Drosophila melanogaster: one gene and its partners. The protein of the gene in region 4 interacts with the protein of the main gene of each other region in a pairwise test. Each region holds a gene or a part of one and is shown on either strand. Other genes may lie near its edges. The genes, in order: CG17568, SmB, PHDP and cactin.

Region 1 (8,148 bases), on a different chromosome or scaffold from region 4:
AAAACTAAAAACCAAAACCAAATTTCGAAACGCGCAAGACAAACAAGAACAAGGAAAATGAATATTTTCGCTAATTTTTCTAGCTGCAAATAAAATATTTATATACATACATCCGTGAATATAATCTATAATAATAATGCATATACGCAAAGTAAGGCATATTAACTGTTTGTTGTTAGCTGCTTATTCTTCCTATTGAAGATTATGAAAAATAAAAACTAAAAACAAAAACAAATTCATATCCCAAGCATTTTTGTAATTTTTAACGAAAAACGACATATTAAAAACTCTAAAAATACGCAAAGAAAACATGAGAATAATTTGTAAGCCGATCATTTTAAGAACAAGTTTATCTAACTTTAAATCAGAACCAAATGGGCAATGTTTAATGCAATAACTAAATAGGAAGCTTAAAAAAACCATTTTTTTATCACACTTTTTTTTTGTAGAAGTACTTATTGTTTTAATATGGTACTGCGTTTGGTAACCTTTTATCTTTAAAAAATATTATTTTTTTGCACTTATCCCTCCATCCAATGTAAGATTCATATTTTTCACATGAAAACATTTGATTTATTTAATTTTTAATTTCATTTCTTGCAGTATTGCACAAATTGCACAGCAACATCAATGAAACCAGCAAGAGCTTCTTGGCAGACAGAATACAGCAACATTTCATTTGAAATAGAAAAGCGAAAGAAACGAAATATTATTAATCAATCACCAAACATTCCCCATACAATTGTGTTATGTTAATGAATTTGTTGTTGAAGAAGAGGATGTAAGAAGGAATGTAATGTAATGGCGATGCATGGACAAGTTTACGTTACGCAATTATTTTAAATCAATTTCGGGACTCAAAAATTATATAAATATTAATGTATTTGCAATTAGTGTAAATGAGTCTCTACGGTCGAACCGCACACAAAGAATTCACACAGACAAGAATCAACGTTGCTAAATCATTGAAATATGCATAAATGTTAGCTCATCTTAATCATAATCGATCATTCAGCATAGATTTTAATATTTATAACGCTATATAGTGCAACTAAGCCGATCATGGTATCATCATCTAGTCATCATGCATACATATATGTATTTTTATAATTAATTATTATTAATATTAAATAAAAAAAAAAACAAAAACAAAAACCAAAACCAAAATGAAACAGAAAATGAAAAGGAACACCAATCTAATGTTAAATGTCGTTATAATTAAGTTTTCTTTGTATACATACATATATATTATGTTTAGCTAACGATTTACCAATTACCAATTTTCCGTGTAAGGATTGATTTTTATGTCTCCCCGCAATTTGAATTTCTCGCTAAAGCCAAGTTGAATTTTAACGTACACAAAAAAAGGAAAAAAACGAGTGAATACTGTATACAGGGTGTTGCTTAAATGGCTTTCATATACTACGTTGTCATATGAAACTAAGACATTTTATCAGCTAAAGTAATAAAAGTAATATGTTTTCTTTATGGTTAATTGTTTACACTGTACGTTCAGTTACAAATCGTATATTTCGCTCAAATTTTGTTTTACACTTAAGATAAATACAAATAAAAAAAAAAAAGAAAATCAAAGACAAAAAAAAAATGTTAAAGCAAATGACAAGAAAATGTGGAAAATATGGACTGACAAGCAAATAATGTATATCATTGAGAGGGTTGGCATTTTTATTCAATACTTATATAAATATAAAGAAAATCTATATTACACGTAGACTTTGTCAGGCAGGCCATTCTCAGCTGTTTCGAACGGGGAAATTGTTAACTTTTTGCGTTGAAATGAAAAAAAGGAAAATAAAATAAAAGGAAAGGAAAAGGAAATATATACACGCCCACCAAATGCATACTATATGCCATATACTGTTTCTAACATGCATACAAAGATTTAACCACAGTACAGAGCAATTACCATTCGGTTTAAGTTTGTAACTGACTTAACTTACTGCCAGGATCAGCTCAGCTCGGCTCCTCAGATACCCTGCATGATACTCACTCGATCAGTCAGTCACTCAATCAGTCAGTCACTCAATCACTCACTCACTCACTCACTCAATCATCCAGTCATTCACTAATCCATCTTTCCCACAAATCCAGCACAATTAAATGTAATCTAAACCAGTAAACCAAGCCACTTTTTTGACAAAACGAAACCGGAAAGGCATTTAACTTGAATCTTCAACATTTTTGAGCACAACCAACTGTTTTTTTTTTCTTTGAATTACATTTAAACTCGTCAAGAAGAAAATTAAAATGTAATCATAATCGTACTTAATTGAATACGATGTAATTGAATGTGAACGTTATTAACTCATTAACTATTATTACTAACTAAGATTCCAACTGTATGCGCATTTTATATATAAACCTATATATATAAAACATTAAGGCAAACCCAAGATAAAAACTCATTAATGTAATGTGTAAGAGAAACAAAAGGTACTTACGGTAAATTATATATGAATATTTTTATACATGTGGAAAACGTAAAAACAGAGAAGAAATCATAATAATTTATTAAAAGCTGAAATTTGCTAGCTAGAGTGGCGAGTTCGGGAATACCTATTTGAATTTGATATGACAACAGATTTTAAACTGTGCTCAAAATGGCAAATCCAATCCAATGGCAAAGTCGACAGCGTCAGCGAGAATTTTTGAAATATAATATGAGAAGGAAATAAAAGTCTTTTTAATGCTTAGGGGCCACAATTTTCGAAGTAATTAAAAAATGAAAAAAAAAAAATGAAATTATTATTATATTAAAATACGGTATTAATTAACATTTAAAAAATGTTGTGTAACATTAATATTAAACCAACCAACAAGAACAACCAGCAACAACAATTGTATTGTAAGAATTTCTATTTCCATTAAACAACAATAAAATTATTTTGTTTTTAAATAACTCGAATGCGTTTTATTATTCGATCAGTGAGTTTTGGCAAGTTTTTGCTACTTGGCAAGCATAAATGACTTAAATGACTTTCTTACTTAATATATTTAGATCTTTGTTTGTAAAATTTGAGATTGCACATTCCTATCTGATGCCAGCTTAAAGGTAAAATATATTATGATTATAATCATGCTAAAACTAGTTTTCTGTTGTTCCTTTTGGTAACTTTTGAGTCCTGAAAATAAAGCATTTAAATAAATCGAATAAACTAGATTTTCTTTACTACAACTCACATAACGCGAAGTTCATCCAACGTTGGAACATTGAGGCGAGAGGGCAACCGTGCTCCATCCTCCTGCTGAACTTCCTGCGGATGTTTCTTGAGCTTGTGCGACCGGCAATTGGCATTACAGGCAAAGGACTTGCCACAGTAGTTGCAAACGTACGGTCGCAGCCCCGTGTGGCTCAGCAAGTGGGTCTTGAGAGTCTTTGAGCGCTTGAAGAGAGCGCCGCAGACATCACACTTCAGGCGCCGCTCCTCGGTGTGCACGACCTTGTGCATGTTCCAGGTGCGACGCGTTTGCAGCTTCTTGCCGCAAATGTTGCACACGAAACTGGGCTCCGCATGGATTTGGTAGTGGGCCTTCAGCCGAGCCCGATTCTTAAAGCCCGCCTTGCAGACGGTGCACTCGAAGGGACGGCTTTCCGTGTGAACCAGCTTGTGTTCATTTAGTGCTGTTATTGTCTTCAGTTGCTTGCCGCAACTATCGCAGATATATGGCTTGACATTCTGGTGTATGCCCTCTTTGTGGAGCTTCAGCGCTGTGGCGGAGGATAGCGTTTTGTTGCAAATATCACAGGTTGTTGTTGTTTTGTCCACTTTCACACGCCGCTCGATCCGGCGGCACTCGCGTTCCAAGTGTTTCTCGTATGAAGCGCGGTTTCTGTAGACCTTGCCACATTTCTCGCAGTCCATTCGACCCCGTTTGGCCTTCTCCTCGGCAGTTGATTCCAGAGTATTTGGCGTGGTTGCCACAGCGACGAGATCCATTAGCTGGCCATCTACGGGCAGGAAATCGTCGTCTCCTTCACAGCTGTCAAGCATTTCTGATTTGACATCATTCTCCATTGAGGCCGGAGAGGTTGTGCTGTCGAGGCGCGGTTGCGATAGTTCCTCCTGAGGCAGTTCGTCTAGCACATCCTCCATGTCCAGTTGACTTGTGTTCTTTTCCAACAGAATGGGACCTAAGTCGATGAATTCTTGCTTGGGTATCTCCATTTCTACGTTCTTTTTGGTTTGAATTAAGTGGGTTGTTGTTGTCCTTTTCGATATTTCCATTTCTTGGCTGCTTGTCTCCGCCAAAGGAAAGTCCTTTAATAGTTCGGCGGGTTTTTGATAAACATTATCGGACTCCATTTCAAGAGCAGGAATTGGCTTTATAATGTGCGTCCAGTCGTCATCGCACAGTCCAAACTGCTGACGCAGTGCAGCCACGTCCATTTCCTGGTCCCCATCTGTTTCTGTTCGCCGCAGGACCTCAAAGATGTCTTGCACTTTGGTCACATGCTCTGCAAAATCGATTAGTTCGCTAATAAGCGTATAGCACTCCGTACACAGCACGCTGCTTAGCTCGTCCTCCAGTTGCATCTGGCGAAAAAATATTTCACATAACAGTTACTGAAGCATATGTTTCATATCACTTACTTGCACTTCGAAGTACTTGCGAATGGCCATTATCAGGACATTGTCCCAGTTTCCCTGAGAATTCTCATTCATTTGCACCTTCACATTGCCGTGGGCGTCGTCCTTGGCGCACAGGCGACACCAGTTCAACCAGTGGCTGCCGTCCGTCATCTTGGCAATGGAACCAAGTGGTCTTATGGGAACACCTTATCGCCGAGAATTAGCAGTTTAATTGTTTACTTTTAGTCCAGATTTGATTCTTTTTCGGGGCAGTGTGACCAGATACAAGTTGTCGCAATCAAACCATGGCAAATTCTTAACGGCATTTTCGTTTAACCCTTATGTTAAACACAACACCCAATAAGACCCATTCCTGCAGACCGTCGATTTCAACTTAATTATTATTGTAATGTACTAGCAAATGAAGAACAAACTCAACCCATTCTAGTAGATTGTGCCCATATGAACTATGTTGTGATATAGTTGGGCTTCAAATATTGAATAATCTTAAAACTGGTATGAATTGAATTTTATTCCTGCGTGCTACTTATCCCTCGTTAGGATACAATGGCTGCGGGGTAACAAGGCATATCCTCCGTTAGGTGGAGTAAGAGTCATTCCTCTCGCATCTCCTGTAAGCGTCTCGTGTCCGTGATCTTGACTAAATGGCCCTATAAATGAATGTTCTACATTTAGCCTTCTCGTCGATGTTTGACCACTAAATGAATACAGAATTTAAGATTACAATTTGTTCGTTTGGGGTATCTGTTAGTTTATTTCAGTTTTTAGTTGTAGACTTGTGTAATAATTTTGGTGATAATCAGCAACGGCATCCAGGGCTGCTACTGCATCCCGGAATGCAACTACCTCGGCAACATGGCACTGCAGCAGTTCCCGTCCAGCAGTTGAAACAAAAGTTGGTGCACTGGATGCAGGAGGGCAGGTTGCAGCAGCCTCCAGGATTGCAGCACATCTTGGATAGGATTAGGATATTTGGGTGGAAGTCAATGGATGGAGAGAATCCACAAAGTAAACAAGGATCACGGATACGCACTCACTCGAGAACCGAAACGAGAATATTGTCTGGAAAATGTGTTTAAATTGAGACTTAGATGAATTTTATTTAAAATATATTTAGACTGACCACGACAAGAAATTTATTTCCAAAAGGTGTTGGTCATTGGGATTCCTGTTCCTGTGTTACTTTAGATGTGTTCAAACCGAGGCTGGGGGAAAGAATGAATGTGATCCCTTCTCGACATTTGGCATCTCCAAAACTGTTGACAGATATCCAATTCAAAGACTACTAGATTGATTGGCTGTTAATTTGTCTCTTTGAATATCTCTAGAAGTTATGACAGTCAAGGAAACCACTGGCTTAATTTAAAACACCGAATTTGTATAGTGTCTGTTGACGGCAGCCAACGTAGTGACGAAGCGCACTGGGAGGATGTGCGAAGGCGACACGAAGTTGTCGGCAGATCATAAGATCAAACCATTCTCAAATTGCAAACGACTTTGCTCGCATTTGAATCTCCATTTTTTCCCCACGAAAATATAAATTTCGAGATCGGACTCGTCTCCAAATCAAGCAGGTTTCACCTTGAGTACGCTAAAGCACGGCGTCGAAATATAGAATTCATCTTTGACACAATCTATTAACATTTATAAAATTCGTTTATTGGGACATGTTGGGTATCTACGAGTGTTTCAGGTACAATATGGTTGAACGTGTTTCGGCACCTGGCACATCCCCACTTCAGCAACAGCCTCTTGGTCCGCAGGGCATAAATGAGCACTGGATGTAGGCTGGGGTGCAGGGTACACAGCAGAGTTCCACGCAGCAGTTGTAGCATCCGCCGCACGGATCGCAGCAGCGAGGTCCACAGGGTCCGCAGCACATGATCTTCCAAGTGAAAGGAAAGCTAAGAATTAATCATATAAATTGTTTTCACTTACGATTTTATTTTGTCTTGGGGAAAAGCGTTCAGGGTATCCTAATTTCCTTCTAAAAGGGCAGCTAAGTGGACTTTAAACCAAATTAGATTGTTCTCTATGCAATGTGAACTAAACACTTACATTTGGCCTATTTACAGAAATAGGATCTTAGAAACAACAAAATAGGTACCGGAAAACGTAAGACACAAACTATTTTCAAAGGTGTTAACACATCGAATTTTGGAATACGAATGGAAAATTCATTTCGCTCAGTCTGTTACGGGGAAATGTGAAGTGACATGAAAAATCAAAGCCAATATGACTATAAAAATGTACACATATCAAGATACATGTGGATGTGGAATTAGTGATTGTGTTGACCAACTTTAAACTAACTAACGAATAAGTAAATTTTAGTTATTGTATATCCTTAGTTGAATAAAAAACCCTTTTTTTCACACAAAAGTTGATATCAGAACTTTTGTGTGTTGAGGTGTGATCGTTACTACTTCCTACCTCGTTCAGAGTTATTTTTGCTTGATTTATGTAAGTTGAATCATTCCTGGAAACTTTTATAATTCCTAAATTGATTATAAAGTATTTTAAATACATATATTATTGTTGATAAAAAAAATAAAAAGTATTGACGGTTGAATTATAAATAATTATCGATTAACCGGCTTTCGAAGCTTCGACAGCAGGACTCCACTGGGGATAATCGATCTGGGTGGCTGCCTCATATTCCTGCACCAAGCAGTCAACCGTGTCCCGTGCGATGTCCAGTTCGGTCAGGTCGTCCTGGAACATGGATTCGCGGCGAAAGTTGTCGAGGAAGGCGTTGCGCTTCCTCAGCTTATCGTACTGGGCCAAGGCCCTCTTGAAGAGCGAACTGATACCCGTGTGATTGGCCATCATCAATCCGGATACCTTGTGGGCCGACTGCACATAGGGCGAGCTGCGCGGCAGAGCCACTTGGATGCTGGCCGGACCCCATGGTATGAAGTTGGCCAGCTTTCGCTCGCGGATGCGCTGCAGCGACTTGTGCACCTGGGATGGATCCACCTCGCCCTGGATGATGTTCAGTATGGAGACGAAGCACTGGCGGCTCTGCTTGTCCGTCAGCGCGGAAACCATCATGTTCTTCGGCTGCAGAAGGCGACGCATTACATCCAAAACGGTGGTCTTTCGAACGCTTGTCTTGGTCTGAAAGTGGTTGCCTCTTTTTATTTGCATTCCCATTTACATATGTCATATCATCATACCTCGCAGTCGGACATTAGCGGAGTATATCCCGTCATCAGGAAGTGCAGCTGGGGCGTGGGAATGAGCGAGGCGGTCAGACCGATGAGGTTGTTGTTCATGTACGAGGGATATCGCAGGGTGGTGGTGCTCAGACTCATGATGGTGGACACCAGATTGTTGATCTGCGTAAAAGTGGGCGTTTGGATGTGCAATCTTTCGGTGGCGATGCGGTTCAGTGCGGTATTATCCAGCACCACCACACTGTCCGCGCACTTGGTCAAACGCTTCAGGGTAAGGATCGAGTTATATGGCTGCACAACCACGTCGCTGATCTCGTCCTGATTGGGAAAAACGCTGTACGTCTGTATGAGCTTCT
Region 2 (7,340 bases), on a different chromosome or scaffold from region 4:
GAAACAATGACCGGCAACGATCGCATTGCAAACTGGCCCCAATCTTATTGCAGTACCAACATTTCCTCTTCTCCGCGGCGGCTGCCTCCTCGCGGATATCGCGAAGCAGAAATCCCAGGATTCCACTGCTATCTCCGCCGCGCTGCGGCAAATGCGTTGAGAGTAGCTGGTGGATTGGATCAGGAAGTTTACATTAGCGGGAGTTCTCTTCATTTCACAACAATCGCACTTACCAGGCAAAAATAGTGCACCTGCAAATTGCGTACAATCATCCATTCGCCAAAGACCAGGTCGTCAGTGTCCGAATATTTGCATATTAAGCATTGCAGCTCCTTGTTATCTTCCATTTGTAAGCTGGCCGCTCAGACTAGTTTTGCTGGACAGATCAACTCGTTTGAGTGCTATTATGAATAATTTTTAAAACTATCAACATGTTTTGCATTCCTTTTTTACTCTATTGGCGGGCAAGGATTTTGAAAAACAATAAATACAACAGCGCCTTATTATACTTCAATTCCACCAAGCACATTTTTGGAAAAGCTCTGTTTCCACTGAGCAACACTCACAATGATCTAATCTGCTTAACTAGCTATATTTTGCGTTAACCCTACTTATAATAAAATTATTTATTTATGTGTAATAATAAATTTTAACGTATTAAAAACTTAACACAATATAAACAAATATTTTGTGATTAATAATTAAATAGCATGATAACCGGAAACATAACTGTGCGTGGTCCGTAGGTTTTATTAGATATGATATGCCATTATGAAAATCATAAGACTATACATTTATAAAGCGATTTCTGAGATTCAAGATTCAAATGCTCGTTTGTATGTTTATAAAATGTGGTGCGTGCATATGCATACATAATGCTGCGACACATCACACGAAATACCTTCAGTATTTTTAATAGCAAAATAATATACAATAATACGCAAAAACTATATCTAACAATTAAGATTCTATTTTCATTTCATCGATTCCACTATTCCGCAGCATTCCTAAACTTGGCGTCGCTATCTAGACGAGCTTTCCAACAACAAAGTTCAGTATATTTAATGTTAAACAAAATAACACAGTTTTGTTAATTGATTGTGAATCACGTATCTCCATTCACCTTCCCCAGTCCGAGAATCGGATTGTTTATAACCGCATTATCATCGAGTGCGTTAAATAGGGCGTAGGCGTACCATCGGACTGGATCCACCTTAAATAATATGGCTGCCGAGATAAAACCAGCTCAGCGGACCAACAATGATCGCTTTAACACCTCCAAAAAGCCGGAATTGCTGAGTAAGCTGGAGGGCAGCAGCGACGATGTGAACGCAGCGATCCTAATTCCGGGCGAAAACGGCGTAATTAGCGTTTCCGATGACAAGTGCGTAGCTGTAGCCCATTAAAAATATACACAAATGGTATGCCTGACATTTTCATGTTTTCCCCAATAGAACCGTTCGCGTTTGGCTAAAACGCGATTCTGGTCAATATTGGCCTAGCATTTGCCAGTATATGCCTTCCGGCTGCACGGCCATCGAGTACGTTTCGGAATCCCGGCACCTGTACGTCGGCCAGGAAAACGGAACGGTCACCCAGTACGCGCTATCCGAAGACTGCAATCGCCTGTCCTTCCTGCGGGATTACTTGTCCCATCAAGCGCGGGTCATGGCCGTGGTCTTCTCGAAAACCCACAAGTGGATACTCTCCGCCGGCAAAGATAAGCAGTTCGCCTATCATTGCACGGAGAGCGGCAAACGGGTGGGCGGATACAACTTTGAGACACCATGCACGGCTCTCCAGTAAGTATGATAAATGGATGGTGAAAGGGGGAAGGGGGTGCGACAGTGGATATGGGATAAGCGGGTCATTTAATTGGATTAAACTGCTTTCTTTGACACGGCAATAAACTGCAATTCTTCACGGCTATGGAATTCATTTAGAATTTGAGAACCTTCTATTGTTAATGACGTGTCAACTGAGTCATTTTATCTACACAAAATTTTGGCATAAATGTGTGCACTGTGCGAAATATTCTATAAGCAACATATAATTAATTATAATCTGCGTTTAGGTTCGACGCTTTGGCCAAGTATGCCTTTGTGGGCGATCATGCTGGACAGATAACAATGCTAAGGTGCGATGTTCAGGGAGTGCAACTAATTACCACTTTCAATGGACATTCGGGTAAACAAGTTACAAATGATATTTAGTAAGCTAATTATATACGAATTGGTTAATTTTTAGCGGAAATCCGGTGCCTCAAATGGGTGGAAGGCCCTCAGCTCTTGTTTAGCGGAGCTTGCGATCAGTCCGTGCTAGTTTGGGATGTTGGTGGCAAACGTGGCACCATTTACGAGCTGCAGGGACATAGGTATCTCCAATCTTAAATAATATTCATAAAATAAGATAGTAATCGGCACTTCTGATTATGTAGCAACAAAGTTTCCGCCCTGTCGTACGCGAATCACACGCAACAACTGATAAGCTGTGGCGAAGATTCAGTAGTGGTTTTTTGGGAAATGAATGCAATGCGGAAAGAGGTTCCTGGCTGGGTGGATACCAACAACTGTCAGCTTTGCTCCAGGCCCTTCTTCTGGAACTTCCGCTCAATGATGGATCAAAAGCAGCTGGGTGAGATAAATAGCTTACACTTGAGTTACTCTTTGTTTTACAAGTAATTTCTGACTGTCAGGAATACGACAGCATCATTGTCGCCACTGCGGCAAAGCCGTGTGCGACAACTGTTCCACCAATCGCATTAACATACCCATAATGGGCTTCGAGTTTGATGTGCGTACCTGTGATCCGTGCTACAAACAACTTCAGACAGTCGAGCGCCCCTCGCTGGCTTCATTCAATGACGCCAAGCATTCGATCGTCTACATGGACCTGGACGAGGACAGAAAGCGCCTGTTGACAGTGGGCCAGGACAGGCTCATCAAGATCTGGGATCTCTCCAACATCTGGGCATAAAACATCCTGTACGCACACGCACGTACCAAAGGTATAATCATTCACGAGGCGTTTCGGTCTTAACTGGAACACCCAATTAACGAACGATGTGGCTGGCAACGACCAAATCCAGTCCCTGCTGCTTAGGTTCTCATATAATTGATGTAAAGCAATAATCATTGTATGTACGTATGCTTACATTCAACACATAAATACACGAATCCATCGATTAAGTGGTGTTTTCTAAATGAGTTTTTATTAGATTGTACTTTATACTTAATAGCCACCCCTGCCCGGTGGTGGTGCTCCACGGATCATGCTGGGCGGCGGTCCGCGCATCGGTGGCGGAGCACCGCGTCCCATGTTTCCTGGCATCGAGGGCATGCCGCCGGGAATCATGCCCGGTGGCGGTGCACCCATCATCGGTGCTCGTGGCACTCCTCGTCCCATCGGAGCCATGTGCTGTTGGGCGGGTCCGCCCACACCTCTCACGGGACCCTGGAGACCCGCTGGCACGGCGGACAAGTTGATAGGCATTCCGCGTCCGGCCACGCGACCGATTCCCGGACCAGGAGCTGCTCCCGGAATGGGAACTCGGGGCAGGCCCTCCTCTGGCGGCGGTGGTCCCTCCACCGTCAGTGAAACTATGTTCTCGCCGCGCAGCAATACAAAGCCCAGCACGCGCTTCTCCTCGCGCTCGGGCACCTTGGAATTCTTCGAGCGAATCTTCCGGAACTCCTCGCAGTCGCCGAGGATCAAGTTCATGTGTTTGTCGAAGGCTTTGAAGGTACCGATGAAGGTACGCGAGTCCTGCAGCACGATTCGCACCCGATAATTCAGGTGCTGAATCATTTTGTTGTTCTTGCCGATCGTCTGAAATAAAGGAATTCAAAGGATTTAATTGTGAAATACAATAGCATGCATAAAAGTCGCGCCATCTTTTGTAAACCATTTCGACCCTTTAAAAAAGCCGGTATTTATAAAAATTTTAATAAACCACAGAGTTTGAAATAGCAAATCTCAGCGTAATATCGAAGATCACTAAAAATCATAATTTTAAACAAATATAAAATAGTTAATTAGCCAAAACAAATTGTTTTATTTATTCGCATGCATGTTTGTATGTATGTATGCCTATGTAAATACGAAATCGCAACCGCGAAAGTAAGAATCTATGAATTAATACAACTAAACAAAACTTAACCATTGCAGTCAGATGCTTAAAACAGTGTTTTTACTTACCATTTTATTTGATTTCTATGTTAATTCTATCGCTTGTAAATAAAATACAGATGCCGGAACCTCACCACGGCTTTTTTCGATAGGCATGAAGAATAAATCGAGTGGCGTGTGCGGCGGTCAGCATTTTCTGGTGTCTTTCAATCGAGCCTATCGAATATAAATTTTTTATTGATAATCCACATGATTTTTTAAACAAACATTCGACTATCCCTAGCAAAAGAAGAGAAAAAAATTAAATTTTTTTTAAATCTTATGATAAAAAACGAAAAAAGAAAAAATTTGAATCAGTATGTTTTTTCTCAATTTTTTTCGTTAGAGATGGTCGAATTTTCATTAAAAAAATCATGTGGCGGCACTTATCGATATCGATAGGCAGTGGCCATGTTATCAAACTTATTCTTATTCATCAGCCACGTCATTGTTTATGCCGACATTCTGACAAGTTTTTTTCCGAAGCGGCAAAGCCCTCACATCTCTACTCGTTGGCAAATTAGGCGAAAAGTCATTTTGGTAACGTATGCAGCTGTTGAAACACTGAATGCCGCCATTATTGCTATAGTATACACTCCCATTTTCATATAGGCGTGCGTTCCGTGACGCAGCCGCAGCGAAAGGAAGTAGAACAATCAAACAGCCAACCGGGCAGCCAAGTAGCCAAGTCGGCGGATTAGATCACGATGAATATCTTTCGCTTTGCTGGGGATCTGTCGCATGTGTTTGCCATCATAATACTGCTGCTGAAGATATGGAAGACCCGCTCGTGCGCCGGAATATCGGGCAAGTCGCAGATCCTGTTCGCCGTGGTCTATCTGACGCGCTACCTGGATCTGTTCACCACCTACGTGAGCCTGTACAACTCGGTGATGAAGGTGTTGTTCCTGGCCACGTCCGGTGCCACCGTGTATTTGATGTACGTGAAGTTTAAGGCCACCTATGACCACAATCACGATTCGTTCCGCATCGAATTCCTGCTGGTGCCGTGCGCCCTGCTCTCGCTGGTGATCAATCATGAGTTTACCGTGATGGAAGTGCTGTGGACATTCTCGATCTATTTGGAATCGGTGGCCATTCTGCCGCAGCTGTTCCTAGTGAGCAGAACCGGCGAGGCCGAGTCCATCACCAGCCACTACCTCTTCGCCCTGGGATCGTACCGTGCACTCTACTTGCTCAACTGGGTCTACCGGTACATGGTCGAGTCGCACTACGACCTTATCGCGATCTTCGCCGGAGTTGTCCAGACCGTCTTGTACTGCGACTTCTTCTACTTATACATTACCAAAGTTCTTAAGGGCAAGAAGCTCCAGCTGCCGGCATAAGCGGATGATGGATAAGTGCATAGATGTGGGACATTTGTGTTTTGTCGGCACACATCATCAATCGACGTCAGAGTAAACAAGCGAGCGATCCACGGCCCGTTTGACAACGCGTATTTCGTTCATATTATACAAAAGATACATAATCGAGGGGAGCGCCTAAGTTGTAATTATTTAATGAGAAATAAACCGAAAATCGAAAGTACACTATAAACTATGCAATACCGACATCGTACATTGAAAATGTAACAAATGTATTAATCTCCGTTTTCCGAACTGCACTCACAAATTTTAGAATCCAAAAATATTAAAAAAAAAAATCATTACTCCAGTAAGAGATAACGTTAATTGACAAAATCGAAACAAATGTTTTCTCTTTTGCGCGGAGGCTTATCTGATTCGCAATAGTATCACAGAAGAGGTCATAGATTTCTTTGTTTAATTAAGAATTTAAAGTTATGCATTAAATAGCTCTTAAGTCGACTGTATCCTAAAAATCCGAGTAAAGTTAAGTCTTATTGTGTGGCTAATAGTAAAGTAAATGATGAGCGATGTCAACATATAATACACATAATATTCTGAAAAATAGGCCGCAGGATCGTAGGAACTCCATGTGCTGTTTTGCACAACTTCTATTGAATTCCGAAAAGATATATTAAATTTCTGCAACACCCTCGTTTCCCCTTGCACGCTTCGCAGTCATGCCAGATGCAAATGGAAAATTTAATTTATATGGAGATCATGTACGAAACAAATACGAACCTAATGTGGCATAAATAATATTTTAAACACTTTTGCAGATATTATATTATAAACAAAGTACAATAAACAACTCGATTTTCTTTTATTTATTAGATTACAATGCAAAGAGTTAGTAAGGATGTATAAATATATATTACATCTCTATAAATTGTTTAGTTTCCAAAAACTTGAAGCACTGTGCCGTTATCAAAAAAGGGGGAATACCCCTAACACTCGGCTGTTATCTGTAAAAATATTTACAGCACTGCCACACTGCAAAAATGTCATAATCAAAACAAAATGAGAAGAATTGGTCTTTTAAATAGTTTAATGCGCCAGAAAACGACTGCCAGAAACTTGTTTCAGTTCGGCAAAGTTAAGGGGTATGGGCTCCGGCTTATCTCTTTCAGGACTCTATTCTGATGGGTATACTTACAGAGATACTGGCAAATATGAACAGATCGTGTCCACCGGCCAAGTTTCCCCGGAACGTTTTGTGCCCGAGGAGATCAAGAAACCGGCGTACTACTTCAAGAATATGCCACCGGGTAACACGCTGGGATCGCCCGAAATCAAAAGCCAGGTTCAGATTGATGCCATGCGTCTAAGCGGCAGACTGGCGGCCAGGATACTGCGCGAATGCGGTAAACTAGCAACAGTTGGCACAACCACCGATCAGATTGATGCCTTTGCGCATGAAAGAATTCTCGAGTCCAAAGCGTATCCGTCGCCGCTGAGATACGCCGGCTTCCCAAAGTCCATTTGCACGTCGATCAACAATATCGCCTGTCACGGAATTCCGGATGACCGGCAGTTGGCCGATGGGGATATTATAAATATTGATGTCACAGTCTTTTTGAACGGCTACCATGGCGACTGTTCGGAAACATTTCGGGTGGGCAACGTGGACGAACGGGGTGGCTTTCTCGTGGAGGCCACTAAATCCTGTTTGGATCAGTGCATTTCGCTGTGCGGCCCCGGTGTGGAATTCAATGAGATTGGAAAGTTCATAGACAGATATTGCGACGAACATGATCTGGCATCGATAGCTGCTTTCATTGGACATGGAATCGGTAGCTATTTCCACGG
Region 3 (7,477 bases), on a different chromosome or scaffold from region 4:
AGCGGGCTATGTAAATCTAGTGGTTTTGGGGTATCCTAACGTAGAGATGGCGTTCCAATTCATCCCCGTTCCCTACCCATTAGTTGCAATGCTGCGGCGTCGACGGACCTCTCGATTACCGCCGACTTTCGCTGCCCTGGTCCTGCTGCTCGCGCCCGGAGCACGCCTACGAGTCAGCATGTGATACCCACTACAAGCGCGGATGCCTGGCCGTCGTATCGGAGCAGATCAGGAACCGCCTGCTGATCACCGCCTTCGGAGCTGCCATCATAGCCATATTCCAGGTGAGTCCCCCCCAATGGATTCTCTCTCAACTCTCAGTTAGTTGACCAATAATAAATTGAAAACCAATTCGCACAGAGCCTGGGAATCTTCTGTGCTGTCCACCTGACCATTCTGTTCGGCAAGAACGACAACACCCATCCCATGAACATGAACCGGAAAAAGAAGCAGCAGCAGTTCTTGCCCCTGACCATACAGGACAAGAGGCACGACATGCCCTCGCCCATCAATCTATCCCCTTCAGCACCCGGGCAGCGGGTTTTAAAAACTGCTCTGCCCTCGGCCATGCACAAATGACAGACGATTAGCTTTTAAGGATGCAAAAATTTATGGAAACTCCAAAGAAAAAGTATAAAAAAAATGTTGTAAACTGAGATGGAATGAATATAACTGTGACCCTCAATGTTACGTTATGGTAATTTTAAACAATTTAACGTTCGAGAAAAGAAACAACATTTGAATTTGGATTAACTCTCCAGTAGTTTAATTAAAGCTTAAAAACAATTGGATCTAACTTGTTTGTGGCCAGGAGTTGTCGTGGGTCCACGGGTTGTCCACTAGCCGTTGTGCGTGATAGTCGGCGGCACATAGAAGGTGTCTGCTGCCTTGGGCTTCTTCTTTTTGCCGAACCAGCGCTTGGGATAGTAGACCTTCTTCTTGTAGATCTGGATGTCGATGTCGTCCCGGTTCTCGAAGAACCACAGGTTCTGCCGCTTCGCCTCCAGTTCGCTGAGGGTCTTCTGGATGGTGGCCTTACGCTCCTCCACGCTCTGCGAATCCAGTTGTCGCTGCACCGCTGCCTCAAACTTCTTGGCCCACTCCTGATACGACTCGCCGTAGTCGGCCAGCAGTTTGGGCTCAAACTTCTGCACATTGGCTTTGACGCTGTTCTCCAGTAGCGATTGAATGGCATTCGATTTGCTACTCTTCTCAACGGCTTCCTGCAGGGACTTCAGCAGCTCTTCGGATCCCTCCAGCTTGAGGCTTTCAACTATGCTCTGTGCGGCTAAAAGAGTCTCCTTGTGCAGGGCAGCTGAGTTCGAGGCCAGAAAGCTGGAGGCCTCGGGCACTTGTCCGGTTAGGACATAGCCAAGTAGGGCAACGTTCTGCTTCAGCTCTTTCAAGGACCCTTCGCCGGAGCCCAATCGAACCATGGCGCGACCCAGTTTCTTCTCTTCGGTATTTTCGCTGGCGTCGTCGGGGTAATTGCGAATGAACTTCACGCGAACTTTTTCCTAGCAAATTCAGGTATGATTAGTAAACTTGGTAAAATGCCAAAATGAACAAAATCTTAAATAGCTATTTATGAGTGAATAAAGTTTCCAGCCGCTTAGCTGATAATTCAGCCACTATCGAAAATCATCTTACCACTTCAACATTTTTGGCAGGAGGTTGAACTTGAGAGGACTCGAAGGGCTTGAACTCCTTGGCGAAGGACCAGAAGGACTGTAGGGCCAGGGACTCCAGCAACTCGTTGTTGCATAAGTTTCTGTCCACGAGAATAGTGGCCAGCTGGGCAGATTCCACCGCGTGGCCATTGTGCAGCAGGAAGTCCAACAGGAAGCAGCCAGAGAACTGGTCCACAAAGAGCCCGTACTGGATGGGATTACGGAGCACCGATATCGTCTCCTGCGGATTGGTGGAGTCCAGCAATTGCTTGACCAAGACACTGGGAATCAGCGGCACCAAACTGGCCTCCTTCTGTTTCCTGCAAGAGTTATCTTATGAGTAGGGACACTACTTCCAATATGGCCGCACCCACCTGAGCTTGAGCAGCCGGTCCACCAGGTCCATGGGACGGTTATCCGGATTGACGAACACATCCAAATCCACACTCGTTACGGCATGACTGCTGCCTGCGGCGAATTTAGCCGGTCCCTCGTGCGCCACCTTGTTGAATTCCGCCGAGAAGTAGGACACCAGTCTCCTGGGTGGCAGTGCGCAGGAAATCCTCGATCGCAGCATTGTCAATTGTCTTTTTTAATTCATAAAGTGTTATAACCAGCCGATTAACAAATAACATGCAGCTGGCCAAAAGAGCAACAAAATCCCTAGCGCGTTCGCCAGTTAATACCGCAGATAGCGGTATTTTCGTATTCGAAAGCATTGAGGGTATTTCGACTTATAATATGTTGCTTTTTCCGGGAACGATGGAATTGAAAATGTCCTTGGAATATTTGAATAAAATAATTAATTTGAATTCTTTTATTCTAAATGAAAAAACACATAAAATAATCAAATCAAATTGCAACAAAACTATTTAAAAAACGGAAGAGTACGTTTTATATATAGTTAAAAGGCTAAATGATATTTGTATATTTATGTATATATTTAATATCTGTATATACGTTTCACTAATGAAGTGTAGAAAAATGTAAAATGAACAACGATTTCACAGTTTATTAAAATCATTCGAGGGTGTTGAAAGGCGGGCACTACTTATAAATTGCAATATTAAGTTATACATCTGGGCACATATGATTTCAATAAACTGCAATTCAATCTTGATCTTGTTAATTAGATCTGAAAGGTATTCACCGCCAATCCCTGCGGTGGGCACTCCACAACAATTGCTATATTGAGCGCACCGAATCGCCACCATCAACTGATTACACGCCCTAATGCCGATCCAATCCACTTTTTCCACCCGATAATGGGATGACAATTTACCCCTGAAGGGCGTGAGGTTTGGTACTTGTAGATGGTGACCCTTCAACCCCCATTCAAGTCCTTGTTTTTCTTCCCACAGGCTTAGCCGGCTGAGCCCTCAAAAGGGTGCTAAGCCAGTTGTCCCGGATGATATGAAAACAAGCAAAGTGTTACACAGATCTTATTTATTTAACGCAATTCGCTCCAAATAGTCAGTAAAAATAATATCAAAATAACTGCATTCATCAAAATGTATACTAATATTTACATAGATATTAGTGGATTCTATATTTGATCGTATAAGCATTTCATTTGACGGCCATGGCCATTCTGGGGTCCCTTGAGAGATGGGCCCAGGTATTTCGATCCTGCTACAGGATTCTTCCGGCCATCCAATTTGCTCGACTTGTCCTTCATTATGTAAATGGCATGCCTCTCCTGCTTGCGAAACTTGGCTCTTCTGTTCTGGAACCAGACCTAAAACACACAATGGTTTTTTTTTTTTTTAATTTCGATTACTAAGTCGTTTTGTATCCTTCAACAGGATATGACTAAATTCGTTTCGATTGTAAGCTGGCTTCGAGAAACCTATAATATTTGAACCTATCAACAGCAGATCGAGTTCTTTTCAATAGTTATATTATATTATGTAAGTATTATTTGTTATATGTTAATTATTGAAATATGTGTATCCTAAACTACCCACTCACTTAACCAGCAATTCAATCTCATTAGTTTTCCTCACCTGAACTCGAGCTTCCGTCAAGTGCAGCTTGGATGCGATCTCTTCCCTGGTGTAGATATCTGGGTAGTGGGTTTCCAGGAAGATCTTCTCCAGCTCGTTCAGCTGGTTGGACGTGAAAGTGGTGCGAATGCGCCTCTGTTTTGATTTGTCGGTCAGGCTCAAGCCGTCGTCTCCATAGGACTTCAAATGGAAGTCTATGGCGAGGTGAGAGTTGGTTCAAGATTACAATCCATAATCGATCCATCCAGGTGCACTGGCTGCAGGTGGAACTGATGGCCACTGTACTTACCCGTGTTGTAGGAGCCAATGTTATGGGTGGCCGGGTAAAACTCGGAGACAGTGGTGATTTTGGAGAACAATAAGCTCGACTCCTGGTTGAGGGAACCCCGGATTGCGGACTCGTTGGCGCAGAGCTTGTAACTGGAGTCAATCATGAGGTTGTAGTGATTTATGTGATTGGCCACGGAGAGTCCTCCTCCATTGGCGCCGCTGTTGTAGAACTCCGAGTTCGCGGTGTACAAACAATCCTTGTCGAAGTTCGCCTTGTTGAGCAGTGAAAATTCCATCGCATCTGCAGGTAAATTCACACACGGCACTCGATTGAAATTTTACAGCCCGCTAATGAGTCATTCGGCCATAAAACACATAGTTATAGTAGCTCCGCGGCCGCACACACTTTTAACTGCCCTTGAATAAATAAGCTTCGATTACGATTGTATCAACTACAGGACATCCACGTTGGACGAACAAGGATGCTGCACTTGTCTCGGGAGAGCGGGACGGAAAATTTCATTCGTTTCCGCGTTTGGAGGCGGTCCTAACGAGCTCCACTCGACATAGGGGTGGAAATCTGACTTTCCGGCGCGTGTCGTGCACTGCGCGAAAATTCACCGCATTTCCCCAATTGACTTGTCACAGCATGTCTAAAGAATTGGTTTTGGTTTTAATTTCATTGATTGCATCGCTGTCTGTTGGCTCTGATCTAATCTTCACTCAGAAATCTTCTTTTCAATGAATATTTCTTCAAAATCTGAATATTTTCCAAGCTCCATCTTTAAGCGAACTTTTCTTTGAGTGCACCAATTTTCACAGGCCTCAAAAAGCAACACTCAGAAGATTAAATTGGCTTATCGGGCAACCATGACGCTGGGATGTCCTGTCTGAGCGATTAAAGGAAATGCTTCTCTGGGATAATATAAAAAGTAAGAAAAATGAAAATCCTCTTTACGTTGCAATAACTCTTAAGGAACAGCCAAAGTAACATAAATTATAAAATATATTTAAACTTCATATATGAAATGGAAAGGGTATCGGACAGTCCGTCATCACGAGTACAGCACTTCGCCAACTTGATAAAACAAATGGTGTTGTACCGCACACAATGGATAAGAGACACCTTACTATCTTTTCTTGTTTATAACATTGGGCTGATTGAAACATTGTTTAAAGTCACTGGCAGGATACAACCCCTGTTTTCGGAAACAATTATTTGCTCTGCGGATTATTTCGATTAGTTAATTCCTGCTAATCAGAGTCCTGCCTAATTTTTATTTACTCTGCGCTGAAGTCCTTTTTTTTTTGGACACCCTAATGCTGGATTGCTAATAGGATAGGCTGGTTGTTCCATGTGCTGAAGCCATTTAGTTAAATTTTCAAAGAAAAACAGTTCCAAATTCAATGTATCTATCTTCGGAAACAATTTCATTGGGATCAGTTTAGTCAAACATACGAGGTAAAAGTTTAGAATGTGCCTCTTTTTCCAGTTGAAAAATGGTCTTAGTTGCCTTTGTGGATTTTACACATTTGCATGGTAGAGTGAGCCTTTTCTTTTCTTAATCAACGAATTGGAACGACTAAGTCTCTAGGAAAACAAAGCCACCTAATAGATGCACATCATGCTCAAACTAACACTCGTGCAAAAAGAAACTCTACTTTGTAGTAATCATTACTTAAATCGCAAGTCTATGTAAATCGGAGAATTGTTATGGCAATCATAATAATACAACATTACGACATTCCGAAAGTTTTGGAATAAGTTACTGTGTTACATTTTAGGTTAAAATATATCCAATATATGTGTAAAATTATAACCTTTCCAATTGTAATTGTATCAAACGCAAAGATATGAACTCATTTTACATTTAATAAATAGTATAGTAACCAGATGTTGGAGGTGATCGACCTGAACGAAACCCACCTGCATTGTTTGCTTAACCCGATCTCAAACCCACCCCGAAAATCCTGTAAAAACAGCAACATATTATTTAGTTATAGAGCATCTAAATGGGAAGCTAGTTTAAGTAGGTTTCAACCTAGTTGTGGGTGCAAATGAGCCTGGAACTACATGCATCGAACAAGTATCAGGTTCTATTGAGTCATTCTGAAAACAACTAACGTTAGTTTGGAAAACATAAAGTAAAGAAAAAGGGTTTATCATGCATAGGTGTGTGTTGCACTTACACACTAACTTGGTATAGTGAAGGCTTTTTCTTTTGCTAATCACCGAGTTGGAACGACTAACTAAGTCTTTACAAAAACTCAAGCATATGGATATACTTAAACCTATGAGTAACTGAACGGCTAATACCCTAAGATTTATTCAATTGTAAACAAATTCGAGAAATTCGACTTAAAAATGCCTTCTATCGGAATTTCAACAGAATTACAGGAATGTTAATGATCCCTATTGCCATGGAGACAGCATATTATTAACGCCAATCGTTACAACAGCCCTTAACTTCGGTCGAGAAGAAGAAAAGGTCCTTAAGGACTACGCTCGACACCCCCTGTCCTTTAACGGTCTTGCATGTTACCCTCGACTATCCCTAGTTGTAGGAGTGCGCCTCAGCTGGGCGGCCAACTGGTTTTCAAATAGTCAACGGCAGCTAGGAGCAGCGGAGAGTATCGAAGCGGAAAGGTTGTGTCCAACCCCCACACATGCAGGGCGACTTGGTTGGTGGTGGTGCCTGGCCAGCTGCGGAGCGATCTCCCCACATGTCCATGCAAAGATCGTGCTTGTGCTCCGAGAGTCGCGCACAAGTCAAGTGGCACGGGCTATGCGAGGAGGAGGAGGGTTAGGGTAGGAGGATCGTGTGCCGGAGAGGAAGTGCCGGCATTATCTCGGCTAAATTCGAATTCGTTTGGTTACGCTGCGTGGTCTTGGCCAAGAGCTCTCGTTCCTCATTTCTCGGTTTTCAGTTTTCGGTTCTCTGGCGGCCAAGAGCATTTAGTTGCCTTAGTTGTACCATGCCGAGCGGACCGCTGAGTTAGGATCGGTTGAGAAGTCTGGCATACGAGTGGAAGTGGAAGTGTAGATAGGATAGTGACCGTTATGGATACCCTGCTGATCGCCATTCTGGCCATCGGACTGCTCCACAGAGGTACAGCCAGATCCTGTGGCGATCCAGCCAGCAACCGATATGGGAAACGCGATTTTTAAATTAAGAAATGAAATCATTCGGAAGGCGCATATAAACGAATTTCGAATGCGCAAACCTTGAGAAAAATAATGACAAATCGGATATCTATAAATACGAACGTATATCCACATTCGGTTCTGAGTTAACATGTGCTAAAACGGAATATAAACAATATATAAACAATATATAAACAATATGTGCAGATTCGATTATCCTTTAATTTGTGGATTTGAACGGGCTGAAGGATTTTACGTGCAATTATTCGTGTTCGAAACTATATGTTTTTCAATGTGGAAAAAGCGCCAGTGGTTTTGAAGTCGGAGCAATAGATGCTAAGTGGAAAGCAAAAGATTCCAGCGAAAGGAACCTAATAAAATTGAAC
Region 4 (8,531 bases):
TCTGCAACTTTAGCGGGCAGTGCCACCTGCTGCGCGAGTTCCTGCTGGCCTCGTCGCCCGACTTGGACATATCCTGTCGCACGGGACGGCGGGGATCCTTCGAGGTGTCCATCGACGGTCAGCTAGTGCACTCGAAGCTTTCCTGCCTGGCATTTCCCCAGCACGCGAGTGTCCTGGCCCAAGTGCAGAAGGCGGAGCGTGGAGAGCCCGTGGAGAAAGTCCTGGAGCAGCCCATCAAGGACTGCGTCGTGATGTGATCTCCTACTTTCACGCCTAGACTGTTTAAACACGATAGCTTCACGCTTACACCAACATTTGTGGAACCCATTTGAAATCCTGTGATATATGGTATATACATATATAATAATAAATATAACATTATAATGCTCTCCTTATTTGCAAGATGGATGAATTGAAAAATGGGTAAAGGTTAAACAACAGTTTTCAGTTTAAGTGGAGTCAACTAAACAATCGCAATAAATGGAACGAGTTTGCTAGTTGTTCTGGGCTTACACTTTATTGGAAAATAACATAGGACTGCACAAAAGGATGGTTTGGGTAATCTAGGCCAGACGGTGACAATCCTTCACCGCCTGTAGCGATAGCGCTTGAAGTGGAACCACAGCTGGAAGATGTTGTTGTGGAACTGGCAGCGGAAGCCCCGCTTGTAGCTAAACTCCCACTCCCGGTTGACGATCTTGAAGGCGATGTCCTCGTACGGTGGTCCTGTGTGGAAACGCAGCACCGCAAAGTCCCCGTTGTCCGCGCAGGGAGTGAGGAAGTACTGCGGCGTCTGCGATTTGTCCATAAGGTCCGGATAGAATATGTTGAACTTGTATCCCTGCACGATCTTGGGCGGGGGATTGTCCATGTCGTAGTGCGTCTGGTTGTACTTGTTCCACTCGAAGCCGGTGTGCACGCGATTGAAGTAGCGCGGCTTTCGTGGTCGGTACTTATCGGTGGCCAGCTGCGGCACTGCATCCAGGGTGGTCTCCACACTGAACTCGGCCTCGTCACCCTGCATTCCCTGCTTCGCCTCGTTGCGCATTCGCAGTTCCTGCGGGGTCAGTTGATTGTTATCCACTCGTTCTGGATGAAGGATTAGCAGACGCTGTCTCTGTGTTCGCCGCTCGTCGTCCTCCTCCTCGTAGAGAAGTCCTTCTGCCTCCGGTTCGTCGACGTCTTCGTTTTGCGCTCGTCTGCCGGTGAAGTCCTCTTCGCGTATATAGCGCGGGCTGTAGTTCCCTGCCTGGTAAAGACGCACTGTTTTACGCAGCTCATTCAGGGGATCCTCCTCGTCTTCGGGTGAGCCCTCCTCAACCTCCGGGTCCTCTGCGTCCTGGGTTTCCATCTCCTCTTCCTTGACTTGTGGGGCCACCTTCTCTTGCAACGTCTCATTATCGTTTTCTCGCTTGAGCAGCGACAGCTTCTCGCGCAATAAGGCTTGATGGCGATCTCGCAGTCGAGCTCTGGCCATGTGTGCCTTGAGTTGCGAGAGCAGGCTTTCCCAGTAGCTAATGTCGACGCCATCCGCTCGCCCACTGATCTTGGCCTCGATGCGGTGCCGCATCTCCTCCAGCTGCTGAGCATTCTTCCCCCTAAAAATATCGGCCACATCCTTTACCACCGCCTGGTGGATGCCATCCCGGCGTTGATTGAGCGAACTATTCTCCGCCTCCAGTTTCTGTTGGCGCTGCAGTTCATCCTGCACAATGGTGATCATATCGTTCCAGAAATCGATGTGCTTGCCCTGCTCCAGCTCTTCGTATACCTTAATGTCGACCAGCAGGTCCTCCAGTTCTTCCACGGGCAGGCCGTTTAGCAGCACATAGGGCTCGTGCATCTGCATCTCGAGGCACTCTTCGAGCGGCTCATTCCCAGCGGCCACATATTGGGCGAGAAGATCGATGGGCTTGGCACGTCCATCTCGGATCCGGATTTCACTGCGCAAGCGTGCCTGCTCTAAGTGAAACTGATCTTCCTGTCGCTGCCACTCGCGGAACTGCACCGCCTCCTTGGCGCGCTGCTGCATCATAAGATCATCCTCGCGCACCTGCCGCTCCAGCTCCCTCTCCTGACGCCGTTTCTTGACCTTCTCCAGCTCCCTGCGATTTTCCAACTGCTTTTGCAGAGACAGTACCTCTACGGTTTTGGTGGAGAGATTTGATAGTCCCTCTACCTCCAGCTTTTTGCCCCAGTGGAAGGTGGAGGTGAGATTGGAGTCCCCGAACGGGTTGTCTTCGTTGGAGTACGTCTGGTACTCGTTGTCCCAGCCCATTCGTTCGCGACGCCGCTGCTCCTTGGCCTGCTTTTCGCGCAGGCGACGGGCGCGCTTCTCCTCGGGCGTTTCATGGGCCTTCAGCTCCTCCTTTTTACGCTGACGATCCTTCTGCTCGACGAGGCGACGGGCTTCCAGCGTCTGGAGAAGCTTCATCGGGCTTTTTACCAGCGGCGAACGAGGGGCACCGGGCACCGAGCTGGACGTCGAACTCGACGGGGATGAGCTGGAGGAAGAGGACCGGCGTCTCCGGCTTTTGTGCTCCCGCTTCTTGTCCCTGCTTTTGTCCTTTTCCCTTTCCCTGCGCTGGTCACGTTCCTTGTCTCTGTGATCTCTGTGGTCACGATCCTTTTCCCGCTCGCGTTCACGATCCCGATCCCTGTTCCTGCTGCTCCTCGGATCCGGACTGCGATGATCCCGCCTCTCCCGACTGCGGCTGCGATGCCGGTGCTTGGATTTCTCCTTGGGCATCTTTTTTAATGAGTTTTTCGGGATAAAACTTGTGAAATAAAATATAAACAATGCTAGCGTTGCCAGATGGAGAAAACCAACCCAGATAGCCACTAATAATTGCAAAAGTGCTATCGATATAAGCATTATAACATTAACACATCTCCCTCTTGCCGATAAGTCGATTTATTTTTCCAAGGGTTAGTTTTTACAAACTTTAAATTTTAAAATTTCGGCTGCAGCGTATTATAAATACACAAAAATAAATAATTTATCGATGGAATCCTTGGTGCAGTGTAAAAGGCTTTTTAGGGTCTTCGTGGTAATGCCCACTATCGAAACTGAAGACTCGATGTGTCATTGCAAGTGCCATTACTCAATATATCGATACAAACGCAAGTAGCCAATCCAGCTCTTCGCAGAAACCCGGTTGGCAAAAACGTTTATGTGCATTTTTTGTATTCAATCGCCAACACGAGAGCCGAGCTACCAGCAAAAGGATTGTCCAGATAGCCCGCCACTGCGCTGAGTAAGTAGTGATTCTGGAAAAGTGTCGGGGAAGACAGGAAAAACACGGCAGACGGTGAAAATCGCGCGCGGCAAAAAGGCCAGCGACAAGCCAGACGCACACACACACGCGAGCATCCGCACAAAGCCGACGCACACAGACGCATGCAGGCGAACTCAAAAACCGAAACACAAACAAAAGGATGGTTATTAGTCGACTATTAGTTACCTTACTTCCAGTTCAGCAGCAACTGAAAATCTGAACTAATCTCTAATCCAGAAATTCTGGATTTAAAACAAATCCAACCCTATCCACTGTCAAATACACGTTTCGTATTTGAAAGAAATGTGTATGCATTCACTTAAAACACAGCCATCTAAAACAGCTAAAAGAAGTTATATCGAGAATATAGCCTCTTTTCTCGTTGGTTGGCTTTTCATTGCGAAATAGCCTCATGGACTATCTCAACAAGTGGAATAGCTGGGAACGCGAATGTGTGTGTTTATATTATTTGCCCAATCCGTAAATATAGTTGAATCGTCTTGATTCTTAGATGTGGGGGATGCAGCTATACAGATGCACTTTATGGCCTCTAAAACGCTAGACTTGCTGTGCACGACTAGAGTAGTACCCTATCCTATCACTCAAGCGACCAAAAATTTATAGTATTTCTCTTATGCAACCTTGTGGCTACCTGAAAACCACCCGCGCCAGTTTGGTGAACGACTAACAACGCTGTCCCCGCCCTGTCAACGCCTGCAGTCCGATTCACCGCTTCCCCGTCGCCTCGGCTGCCGCCATCCTCCGGGTGAAGATGTCCGACTACAGCGACCTGGACCGACAGATCGAGCAACTGAAGCGCTGCGAGATCATCAAGGAGAACGAGGTGAAGGCCCTGTGCGCCAAAGCCCGCGAGATCCTGGTGGAGGAGGGCAACGTGCAGCGTGTGGACTCGCCAGTGACCGTGTGCGGCGACATCCACGGTCAGTTCTACGACCTGAAGGAGCTGTTCAAGGTTGGCGGCGATGTGCCCGAGAAGAACTACCTGTTTATGGGCGATTTCGTGGACCGCGGCTACTATAGTGTGGAGACGTTTCTGCTGCTGTTGGCGCTGAAGGTGCGCTATCCGGACCGAATCACGCTGATCCGGGGCAACCATGAGTCGCGCCAAATCACACAGGTCTACGGCTTTTACGATGAGTGCCTGCGCAAGTACGGATCGACGGCCGTGTGGCGGTACTGCACGGAGATCTTTGACTACCTCAGCCTTTCGGCGATCATCGACGGCAAAATATTCTGCGTGCACGGCGGGCTGTCGCCGTCCATCCAGTACCTCGACCAGATTCGCAGCATCGACCGGAAGCAGGAGGTGCCGCACGACGGGCCCATGTGCGACCTGCTTTGGAGCGATCCGGAGGACCAGACTGGCTGGGGCGTGTCGCCGCGCGGCGCTGGCTATCTCTTTGGCTCGGACGTGGTCTCCCAGTTCAACCGCACGAACGATATCGACATGATTTGCCGTGCACACCAGTTGGTAATGGAGGGCTTCAAGTGGCACTTCAACGAAACCGTCCTGACCGTCTGGTCGGCACCCAATTACTGCTATCGGTGAGTCAGCCTCCTGTGCAATTTCGAACTTGTGTTGTTAACTCTGGAATCTCTCCACATGCAGCTGCGGCAATGTAGCTGCCATCCTGGAGCTGAATGAGTACCTGCACCGCGACTTCGTCATCTTTGAGGCAGCTCCGCAAGAGAGTCGCGGCATTCCCTCGAAGAAGCCTCAGGCGGACTACTTTCTCTAAGACGCTTCCGTTCCTGACAATCCGGTGGAACGGAGTCGGCACAGGATGCGGGTGCCGACTGGTAGCTTACATAAATCATCTAGGGAATAGAAATAGAAACTGCCAGCCTGCAAAAGCGAAGCGAACGCGAATAGCAACTGATGGTGTAAAACAAAAAATATGTAACATAAACGTAAGCTAGGGTAGAGCTGCCGGACACAGGTCCACGTTCAGTTAGACTTATTTGCTTTTTTGGTTCAACTAAGATATTTAAATTTTTTTTACCATCTGTTTACCTCTACCTGTGTTTAATCAGGCTATTTGCGCGATCTTTTAATGGCTGTTTTCAAAACATGTAGAGATCAGCCATGCAGATCGCGTATGACCTGTGCACCTCATCTAGCTACTAACTAATAGGTTTAATGACCATAGCCCAAGACCCTGAGAATTCGCCTTGCGTAGACGGACCGCAATCGGAGCCGCCGTCTTCTCGACACGAATTCCCTGGGCTTGGGCAGCATACTATACTAGGAGCCCAAGTTGAGCAAATAGATATTTTTACCGACAGATTGCGTTAAGTCGGCTAAGCTAGGACATATTTAGGGGAGCCGAGAGCGAACGCGCATCCCTGGCTGGGTCCCTTCTCCGCAGGATATCACCTGGAGAAACCCAGGTACGAAGAACATCGTGCATTAATAAATAGTGAGTAAGAATCTTTTAAATATGCCCCAGATTGGGAGATGATATACAAAAAAATGTACTTGTATTTATAATAATAAAGATTGTAATATAATCGTCGAAATTGAGCAAGAATTTTTTATTAGTAAATTATGGGTCCCGAGGAGTCTTGGAGGATAACCACACCCATACGAATCCCCCTTCACAATCCAACAAACAATCAAGCCTGCAGTTTCTCAGTTTATCAAGTACTTAATTCATAGTATACACATAAAAAAAAAAGATGGTTATATTCCAGAAGGGCGCTTGTGATACAGTAACGGGGGGTCGTCATGGGTCTCAAATCTGTTCTCAGTGCTCCTCCAGCTCGAGTCCATGCTCCTTCATTTGCTCGTAAATGCATTCCTCGTAGGCGAAGGCAGCGTCGCAACTGAAAATGGCAGCATGATTATAGTCCGGATTTGAGCCAACAGCTTCCGGCGAGCACTACTCACTGATCCTCGGGTGTCTCGATGGCCTCGCACTTGGCCACCACCTCGGCGGGAGCGTCTTCCTTCTCTGCATCGTGCTTGCTCATGACCTTGACCAACTCGATGGCGTGTTCCTTGTTCAGCTTACCGGATTCATCCATCTGCAATGGGAGGGAGAATGGAATGGGTGGTGGTGAGTGGATCACACTTCCTGCCGGAGCAGCAGCACTCACTATCTGCAGCTTTTTCATCACGCAGGCGCGCAGGCACTTGGCCTCGTGTCTCTCGGGCAGGTCGTGGCTCATCAGCTGCTCCACATCCTCTGTAAGCGATATATCATATGATTGATAATTGCACAATAACTATCCTAACACATCCACCACAGGTAGGAGTGGTACGCTGACAGCTGTATTCCCTACTGAATTTTCTGCACTGATGACCATCTGACTCACCATCGGTGGCTCCCGTCTCAGCCTTGCACTCGTTGGCCAGCTCGGCGGCGTGGTCCCTGTTGATCTCCTCGTGCGGCTTGGCGCTGGTGGCGCCCAGGCAGAGGATGCCCACTAGGAGCAGGACGGTCAGGTGAACCAGATGCGACATTTCGATTTGCGATTGAACTGCGCGACGTGCGAACTCTGACTTGGATGCGAATCGCCGGCAACGTCGGCGTTTTATAGGAGCTATTGCCTAAGCCGAGTCCCGTGATTGATTTGGCAGATCGGATCCATCGCCGATCTCCAGCTGCGTCTCAAGCAGCTCCGGCAATTACGCGCAATTATGAACTACATGGGCAGCACATGGCACATGGCACTCCACTTCACTCCGCCGCTCTGGACGGGATGGGACGGAATCCGGCGGAGATGCCCTCGACTGGGCATCGTGTGAACGAGTGACACCCCGCTGGAACTGCCGCTGCCAGATGAGATGGCCCACCGATCTCCACTTACCTGCTTAATTGGTGACTGGCATGAAATCGCTGCAAATGCCGGGGATATAGAATTGGGAATGGCTATGGCTAGTGGAAATGGAAATGAAAATGCAAAATGCTAAATGCAAAATGAGAGATGAGAAATCCCGCTTGTAATTAAATCGATCAACAGCTCTGGGTGAGATGAGTGATTGTGACTGGCGGGGCCATCGAGCGATTATACAATTATATGGAACTGGGCGAACTGGGAACTGCGGTTGCCGCCTGCCAAATTGGCCGTTTAGGCCATAATATACCCTTCATCTGTCCGCCTATTTCCCAGTTTGCCCGTCAGCCTGCCGACTTTCTGATCATTCCGAGTGCCAACGATCGCTATCTGAGTTCCATCCAGTCAGTCTGTTTGTCCATCCATCGAGTGGAGATTTTAGCACGCAATCTATATTATTGTGGAATCCAATAGATGGAATCGGATTGCATCGTGTGAGCATGTTGCATGCTAATTTTTATTCCAATTGGATTGAGTGGGGCTTACTAGCCCCATTAAGATCTTTAACAGGTCGGAAGTCTGTGTGATCGAGTATTATACATATATGTACATGGTAAATCATCCAACAAATAAGTCCGATTGATAATATATGTATATATCTAAATAATTCGGTTGCGAGCAAATGGCTTACTTTCATTTTAATTAACATTGATATTTTCAAATGTATTATTCCAAAAATGAATATACCTTACAAACCTTGGTACTTTGATAGACCTATCAGGTTTCCAGATTGAAGATCTACATTAATCCGATATTGTCATTGTCTCGAGTGAACTGACACATCGCTGGATAGCGTTGGCGATGTCAAATATCGTCTTTGGAGCGTGACTTGTGCGGGTGACGAACTTGGGTGATGAACTTGGCACTGGAGAAATGCTTGCAATCAGCAAAATCAAGCGACGATGCCATGTGCAGACGACTATGGTGTGAGGTCATGGGTCAGCTTATAAGCCAAGGGGCCAAGCAAGAGCAGAGCCAAAGAGAAAGCAGCTGCCAAGATGAAGCCATCCACTCCAGTCGCAGCCATTCCGCTAATGACGATAGTGGTCGCTGTCCTGCTGCAGACGCACTGCGTCCGTGGCCAGACCCAGGCTTTCGATCTCGCCAAGCTGCTGCCCAAGACCGGAACGGAGCCCATCTGGGCGGTAATCGATCGCAACTTGCCGCAGGTGCAGGAGCTGGTCACCGCGGCCAGGATGGAGTGCATCCAGAAGCTGCAGCTGCCCAGGGACCAGCGACCGCTGGGGAAGGTGACCAATCCAAGTGAGAAGGAGAAGTGCCTGGTGGAGTGCGTGCTCAAGAAGATCAAGTTGGTGAGTAGCCGGACGTTTGTCACAACCAGAACTAAAAGGTCACTAATACTTCTCATTCGCACCCAGATGGACGCCGACA

Evidence for each region.
Region 1: the proteins of cactin (region 4) and CG17568 interact in a two-hybrid assay, tested with the Drosophila melanogaster proteins (one large-scale study listed by BioGRID).
Region 2: the proteins of cactin (region 4) and SmB interact in a two-hybrid assay, tested with the Drosophila melanogaster proteins (one large-scale study listed by BioGRID).
Region 3: the proteins of cactin (region 4) and PHDP interact in a two-hybrid assay, tested with the Drosophila melanogaster proteins (one large-scale study listed by BioGRID).

What each region holds. Positions count from the first base shown.
Region 1 is NT_033779.5:19,176,841-19,184,988, forward strand, and holds CG17568 (uncharacterized protein), read right to left. Parts: upstream 4,863-8,148; 5' UTR 4,764-4,862; coding exon 4,614-4,763; intron 4,557-4,613; coding exon 3,202-4,556; intron 3,144-3,201; coding exon 3,107-3,143; 3' UTR 2,909-3,106; downstream 1-2,908. Other genes in the region: brat (brain tumor), read left to right, coding at 604-683; CG42688 (uncharacterized protein), read right to left, coding at 5,413-5,565; CG46059 (uncharacterized protein), read right to left, coding at 6,352-6,495; gammaTub37C (gamma-Tubulin at 37C), read right to left, coding at 7,203-7,733, 7,793-8,148.
Region 2 is NT_033779.5:10,422,297-10,429,636, forward strand, and holds SmB (small ribonucleoprotein particle protein SmB), read right to left. Parts: upstream 4,332-7,340; 5' UTR 4,201-4,331; coding exon 4,198-4,200; intron 3,829-4,197; coding exon 3,232-3,828; 3' UTR 3,187-3,231; downstream 1-3,186. Other genes in the region: pie (pineapple eye), read right to left, coding at 1-166, 234-347; Wdfy2 (WD repeat and FYVE domain containing 2), read left to right, coding at 1,224-1,384, 1,455-1,802, 2,075-2,187, 2,248-2,374, 2,438-2,634, 2,696-2,976; KdelR (KDEL receptor), read left to right, coding at 4,875-5,513; CG5188 (uncharacterized protein), read left to right, coding at 6,552-6,634, 6,690-7,340. UniProt on the Drosophila melanogaster protein: Plays a role in pre-mRNA splicing as a core component of the spliceosomal U1, U2, U4 and U5 small nuclear ribonucleoproteins (snRNPs), the building blocks of the spliceosome. Involved in germline establishment and development.
Region 3 is NT_033778.4:23,880,071-23,887,547, forward strand, and holds PHDP (putative homeodomain protein), read right to left. Parts: upstream 4,371-7,477; 5' UTR 4,243-4,370; coding exon 3,966-4,242; intron 3,871-3,965; coding exon 3,677-3,870; intron 3,409-3,676; coding exon 3,217-3,408; 3' UTR 3,066-3,216; downstream 1-3,065. Other genes in the region: TM4SF (transmembrane 4 superfamily), read left to right, coding at 84-284, 361-579; CG4882 (uncharacterized protein), read right to left, coding at 840-1,517, 1,651-1,990, 2,045-2,247; CG5597 (uncharacterized protein), read left to right, coding at 7,008-7,056.
Region 4 is NC_004354.4:20,418,372-20,426,902, reverse strand, and holds cactin (cactin), read right to left. Parts: upstream 2,835-8,531; 5' UTR 2,750-2,834; coding exon 587-2,749; 3' UTR 501-586; downstream 1-500. Other genes in the region: CG15456 (uncharacterized protein), read left to right, coding at 1-257; Pp4-19C (protein phosphatase 19C), read left to right, coding at 4,051-4,844, 4,909-5,038; Obp19d (Odorant-binding protein 19d), read right to left, coding at 6,047-6,125, 6,190-6,326, 6,399-6,487, 6,618-6,765; Obp19c (Odorant-binding protein 19c), read left to right, coding at 8,138-8,452, 8,519-8,531. UniProt on the Drosophila melanogaster protein: Plays a role in pre-mRNA splicing by facilitating excision of a subset of introns. Plays a role during early embryonic development. Involved in the dorsal-ventral embryonic patterning.